2 linked regions of the Oryza sativa Japonica Group genome follow. The protein of the gene in region 2 interacts with the protein of the main gene of each other region in a pairwise test. Links are inferred from orthologs where the notes say so. Each region holds a gene or a part of one and is shown on either strand. Other genes may lie near its edges.

Evidence for each region.
Region 1: the proteins of probable rRNA-processing protein EBP2 homolog (region 2) and zinc-finger homeodomain protein 11 interact in binary tests that used the Arabidopsis thaliana proteins (3 or more experiments, as listed by UniProt). The link is inferred for Oryza sativa Japonica Group from reciprocal best matches to the Arabidopsis thaliana genes AT3G22660 and HB32.

Annotation. Positions count from the first base shown.
Region 1 is NC_089037.1:29,969,140-29,972,617, reverse strand, and holds zinc-finger homeodomain protein 11, read right to left. Parts: upstream 1,719-3,478; 5' UTR 1,371-1,718; coding exon 654-1,370; 3' UTR 553-653; downstream 1-552. UniProt on the Arabidopsis thaliana protein: Putative transcription factor.
Region 2 is NC_089041.1:17,360,322-17,363,797, forward strand, and holds probable rRNA-processing protein EBP2 homolog, read right to left. Parts: upstream 2,210-3,476; 5' UTR 2,067-2,209; intron 1,700-2,066; 5' UTR 1,695-1,699; coding exon 819-1,694; 3' UTR 566-818; downstream 1-565. UniProt on the Arabidopsis thaliana protein: Required for the processing of the 27S pre-rRNA. Plays an important role in plant growth and senescence by modulating ribosome biogenesis in nucleolus. Associates with ribosomes.

The sequences.
Region 1 (3,478 bases), on a different chromosome or scaffold from region 2:
AGTATAACACATTCAATGCAAATGTGGAATGCGTCTTTATTTCCGATGCTACTTTCTAGAAACAGCCTTTTAATTTTCTTTAGTAGTAGAAAATCATAGTGAAACCCAAATAAAATTAATTTCTCTACGCGGGAATAGAGATAAAGTTCAGTGCTAGTACATCACAAACTTTGGTGGTTACAAAAAAATGAAAGCGCGAACTTCCAATAGAATTAACAGAAGCAGTTTTCCAAAACTTTATGCCCATCTTGATTCTTGGCGTGCTATAAATTCATGCTTGCTTGATGTCGAATAAAAGAATAACAAAAGAAGCATGCCCTTCGTATGTACTACGTACTTCCTCAGTACAATGCATCTCTTTTGAGTAGTGAGCTTATGCAAGATATACAGGGAAATAAGAGGAGAAATTATGAAGCATCTCCTTTGAGTGTTACAACAAAATCGATTGACCAATGAATGATCATAATAACACACAATTAATTAGTGGCACCGTTAAAACAATCAATCTCATCAGCAAGAATCAACTCAGGGAAGCAAAAAATAAAAGAAATTAGCAAAAAAAAAGAGAGAGTTAATTAAATTGTGAATTATCCCACCCTAGCAATGCAATTGCAAATTTGCAATGCTGCCTGCATTACGTAAGTACGTGGCTCCTACATGCACATCTCGCTCCCCCTCACCTCCTCGTCGTCCTCGCCGTCGCCGCCCATCGCCGGCGACAAGCCCACCCCGACGTCGCCGCCGCCCCTGGTCGTCGACGACGACGTCTGGGCGCCTCCACCGGCGCCGGGGCCGCCGCTGCCGCCGCCGCCGCCGCCGCCGCCGGCCTTGTGGTTGTGCATCCACACCTTGAAGACCTGCCGGTTGACGCCGATCTCCCGGCAGAAGCGCGCCACCTCGTCGTCCCCGGGCGCGCGGCCGGGCTCCCGCTTCGGCATCCGCCACCCGAGCCGCTCCGCGAACCGCAGCATCCGCGCCTTCTGCTCCTCCGTGAACTTGGTCCGCGTCCGCCGCCTCCCCCCGGAGCCGCCGCCGCCGTCGACGCCGCCGCCGCCGCCCACCGCTCCTCCCATCGCCGCCATGTGCATGTATCCCGGCGGCCCGCCTCCACCGGGGGCCGGCAGCATTGGCGCGACGCCGACGCCGGCGCCTCCCGCCCCTCCGGCGGCGGCGGTGGCGCGGCCGTCGAGGAAGTCCTTCCGGTGGAAGTTGCGGTGGCAGCCGCACGCCGCGCAGAGCAGGCCCGCCGGGTGGCCGTCGTCGGGGGTGTACTCGCAGCAGCCGTCGTTCGCGTAGGTCCCCAGCTTCGCCGCGTGGTTGCGCATGCACTCCCTGTACACCTCCCGCGGCCGCTCCTGCTGCTGCTCCATTGCTGCTTCTTCCTCCTCCTCTAGTCCTCTCTATCTCGATCTGTCTCCGCCTCTCTCTGATCTACTTCTACTGCAGCTGCGATGTGGCGCGGTGAGCAGCAGCAGCTGGGCGCATGCAACGCGGTGCTTCGCTTTGCTAGGGTCTATGTGAGCGAGACGCCGAGAGCTATCGATGGCTAGCTAGCTGTGACTTTTTTGTGGGAGCTGGGTTGCATTGCACTTGCACACATGCGCGTATGGCTATCAGCGCCATGAGTAGCGGCAGCACTAGTAGAGCTGTAGTATCAAATGTATCTCATGATGTGTGGGGATGAAACGGGAGAGGGTGTTTGTTGTGGCTGGCCAGTTGGGAGCACGTCGATAAAAAAAAAAAGTTTGCTTTGCTTGCGATCTTCGCAGTTCTGGATTTGCTACGGACAGCACAGGCAGGGGCAGCTCACTGTTTGACTTCTACGGGGCTCTAATTGTTTTGAACAGAATCTTTTGAAGGTTTGGGTAGTCCATCATGTTTTGTTTGTATTAGAGATCTAGTACACTCTTTATAAGTTTTGGTTTAATTGGATGGGACGACGACTTGTTAATATCGTTACAGACTTACAGTGACAGGGCTCATTTGGTAGCAGAAGATCAATATAACGATTCTAACATTAAAATTTCTAAGTGAACGAGGGATGTGTTGAATTTCTAATAGAGTATAAGTAGAAAAGCCTCATGGGTTGTCCTAATAAAAAAACACAATTTAAATTTTCAAATTTAATTTCGAAGTTTAGTTTAAGATATTTTCAACGTAGTTTCTTTTTAGCATTGAATTTTAAATCGTTAATAACACACATATAAAAGTTTTACCTGTAAATTAGTTTTTATTTTCTAATAAACCTCATTAGAATATGTGAGCAATCGATGAGGCTGTAAAACAACATGAAAGAATATTTGAACCTTAATCTTCTTATAGCATAGAATTATTTATTTTTTGTTACGTGCTTTTGGCTTTACGATAATTGGGCAAAAAAAAAATATGCCTTGAATCAAATCAAATATTACCAAACTAACCCTTTTACCAAGCACTCCCGATTATGTAAATATCAGTAGTTCTATAACAATTCGAACGTTCCACCGTTGTGTTACTATAATTTGTTTGTGGGGGAGTGGGGACCTTAACTTGCCGTTTCCGGATACATCCTTTCTGCCTTGGTCATACGCCCCCATGTACCCGGAATGGCTACAAAACGGTGTTCATTATGTTATCCTGCCCGAGCTCACCGATCGAGATGATACTGATTAGGAGGAAAATTAATCAACTAATCAGCATCGGAAATGGGGTTGTGAGACCATGGCATTCATGCAACTATGCAAAGAGATATAGTAAAATGGAGCCAGCTTGTTCCCGGTGACGTACTAACGTGATTTCTTTCGTCTTAACAAAGTACTATAGTCCATTATTGCATAGTAGAAAATAGGAGTATTCTAGTGTAGGGATACAGAAACATGTGGTACTTGTAGGCGCTAAATCCACTTGTCGACGTGGATGCTCTATGTTTCTCCCGCGTGCCAGTGAATAATTTAGCTACAAAAAAAACGCTAGCGATCCAATGAGACCCACTCCGTTTTGCCGTTGGGCTAGCTTAGCTTGTTTTTTTTTTCTTAATCTTTGGCTCTTTTGGTTTCTTCCCAAAAGGGTATCAACTAGGAGGAGGAGGAACTCGGTGGTCCTCGCTCTCGCTGCCGCTGCATGCTGCAATATACAAATAATAATGATTGTATTAACAAAGATATCTGGTGACAAAAATCTAGTCGAAAACCCAGACGATTAGCTCGTGGTTAACGAACTATGGCCGCGTTTAGTTGTTTTAGAAAAGAAAAACGTATAAAGACACACATTTGAAGTATTAAATGTAGACTTATAACAAAATAAATTACAGATTCCGCACGTGAACTGCGAGACGAATCTGTTAAGCCTAATTAATCCATCATTAGCAAATATTTACTGTAGCACCACATTGTCAAATTATGACGTAATTAGGCTCAAAAGATCCGTCTAACAATTTACATGCAAACTGTGCAATTGATTTTTTTATCCACATTTAATACTTTATGTATGTATCTAAATA
Region 2 (3,476 bases):
AGAGGATATGTTGTAACATGTAGTAGGCAATTGCTTTCAAATCATAGACAACCATCACCAGCAAAGAAGCAACATAAGCATGGGCTTCCATGCATCAAATCACTATCAGTATAGCTCATTCCAAGCTAATCGAGGTAAAGACCAAAAGGACACTGTAGCTATAATGCAAAAGTACTACTACCATATTCACGATCTTAATGGGAAATGGTATCCACTCCACATGGACATGCACATCCACCATGAAGAGCAAGGAAGCATCACAATCAAATGCAGTACAAAAGCAAGCTCTTTCTGAAATTCCATCACAACTAATGCAGTGAGGAAACTCACAAATGATATCATTCACTAGAAACTACAGGGAAAGAAACAAGGTAACCAAATGAGTTATGCTGATTGGAGTATAATCTAAGATAGAAGAGAGGGAGACTTGACTCACCAATAAACAAATTTACAACACAATAGGAAAGTGTTGTTTACGTTTCAGTTTTGTTGCATCAATATAAAATAACGGTCAGAAAGATAACATATCAAAACAGGAAGTGCACCAAGCATCCTTAAGACACTCTTAGGATAATTCCAGGGTAAGATTGATTCTTCCACATCACACAACGAAAAAGGGCCATCACCAGATACATGCAAATATCTTGTGGAGAACAGCATAGTTAAAACATAAAATGGTCTTTTGTTTTAACTGCCTCCTACAATCTATCTCAACTAACGTTCGCATCTAGCAACGATGTACTGCAGTAAAATAAAGTTACCAAAAACAACTAGTAATACAGCTCAAGGAAGCAGACGCAGATTCTTACAATATCGCGTCAACCCATTTTTCTCCTCTTGTTTTGTGACTTGTCCATCTGGTTGAATCCTCTGAAGTCATTTGTCGTCTCCGCAGTGTTTTGCTTCTTCAGCCCTTTCCGACCACCATGCCCAAACTTGGAATCCCTTGATTTCCTGTTCTTTCCTTGTTTACCCTTCTTAGCAAGACCACCAGACCTATCACCAGGAGAAACACCAGGCCTCTTTTTCTTTGATTGCTTGAACCCTTCGTCACCTTCAAAATTCAGATCTGGCCCATCATCATTTCCCTTGGCAAAGCCCCCTTGCTGCCTCTGCTTCCTCCACTTCTTGACGGACTCAATCTGTTCTTTCTTCTGCTTGGCCCTCTCCTTTTCTTTCTGTGCCTGCACCTCCTTCGCCCTCTTCTTGGCCTCTCTCGCCTTCTTCCTCTCCTCAGCCTCCTCAATCTTCTTCTTCTCAGACAAGAGCCTCCCCTTGATCTTGTGCATGTGAGCGTCGGTCTTAACCATCTCAGCATAGTAATCAGCCGGCCTGAGAAACCGGACCTTCATAGACTGCAACTTCTCAAAGGCCTGCCTCGTACCATCCAAAGCCTGCGTGTAGAACGCAAGCTCACGAGCAAGATCGTCGTTCACATCGACTTTCTCCCCCTGGTCATGTTCGATAGTGAGCTTGTGCCTCCAGTCCACATTCTCCGGCCACGCAATGTCCTCGAGCTTCTCCAGGATCCCCTCCTTGTTGTAGACAGCTTTCTTGGAAGGCTCGGCATGGAATTCCTCCCCTGAATCATCTTCCGACTCGGACTCTTCCTCGTCGGTATCAACATCATCATCATCATCATCCAATATGGCTTCATCGCGAACCAATGGGTCTTCAGCTGCAAGCCTTGCCATTGTCACTGCAGGATTGATAAATCAATCAGCACAATCCCATAAATGATAGGCACCACAGAATGCAATACATACAGATAAGTCAATCAAAACAATCATGCAGCACGAAGCTAAGAAAATGATAGTCACAATTGAATGATAATAACAGTCTAGTTTTTCTTCACTCCTTCAAAGGAGGAGCCGGGAGAGATTAGGGTTTATCCATTCGCTCGCTCCAGATACTTCATTACATGCATCTCAGTGATTATGTCTATATACTCGCGGCGGCATCAACGGCGACTCCGAACGGCAAGAACAAACACGCACGCGGTTCCCCTTGCCTCGGAGAAACCCAAACCATGGGGGGAAAACGGGGAGAGGGAAACCGATGCTCACCTGCCGGCCGGGGTGAATAGCGCGGAGCGGGCGGCAAGCGGAGGCCGATGGGACGGCGACGGCGCCGGAGGAGGAGCGGAGGCCGGCAGCGGAGAGGGGCGGCGCGCGCGGGGATGGAAACCACGCGGAGGCAGGAGCACACTACCTTTGTATATTGGATTTCTAGGGTTTTAGATTGTTTGGGCTATTGGGCCTTCGTGTGTTTATTGGGCCGGGCTGACCATGGGTCACAACAACACGGTGGTATAAACAGGAGGGATAAGTCCACCGGCCAACTCTCAACTTTATGTCGAGTTTGATCGACATCCATACTCCCAAATACCAGAAGTCTATACCCTAAACTGTATAAAACCATGCACCTTAGGTCCATAGCAGTATAGATCATATTTTTCCTTGTTTTCACTTACGTGGTAGATATTTGGGCCCACTTATCAGCATGTTATCACCAATGCCGTGTCAACGGAGTGAGCTCTCTCGTTGCCTGTTTGCTAGCTCCTGACGGCAGCAGCGTTTGCATAGAGGTTGATGATGACTCCACCGCTAGCGCCAAGTTCGCCATCTCAAGCCGGAGTGGTGGCTGGGCAGCCCCAGCCTCATGGTCGAGCCACGGTGCAGCCTTTAGATGGAGCAACAGCGCATCGGTTGGTTGGCCCCGACACGTAGAATCGGATAGCATTGAGGCACAGTCGCGTCTGGGCGGGCCCAACGCGTAGCAGTGGCCTGCCCTCAAGGCGCAACAATGGCACGCCGGCTTAGGCGGCTTGGATGCATGTGGCGGCATGGCCTTGAGCGTAGTGGTGATGGCCCTAGAGGTAGAGTGACGGCCCAGCACTAGCCCTCTCGTTACAGCGTGAATGGTGCAATCCGGCTCTAGCCCGCTCGTTACGACGTGAATGATTTGATTTGACCTTGATGAGCTGAGGGAGATGCAGTTCATGCACACCATCATCACAGCGTCGGTGTCTCTATCAATCGATGTCAGTGGACGCGCTGCAGGCGTAGGAGGACATCCTGCCAAACAGCCAACGAGAGCACGTTGAAACGGCATGGGTGACTCAGCATGTTGACATGTGGGCTCAGATATCTGCCACGTAAACAAAAATAGGAGGAAATGGGGTCTATACTACCATGGGACTCTAATTGTACGATTTTGTATAGTTTAGAGTTGAAGATTTCTGATATTTGAAATTAGAAATGTCAATCAAACCAAGTTAAGGGACGACAACTTATTCCTAAACAAGATTACAAACAGGTGGAGCATGGACCTCACGAATGAACAAACGCAGCATTTGAATTTGAAATTTGAAACAGGCACTTGAATCGATTTGGACTTTTTGTACCATCAGAAAAAGCCACTCTTCCTACCTTTTTTCTTTTCCCTTTTTGGTATGCCATTTGTTAGACATACGT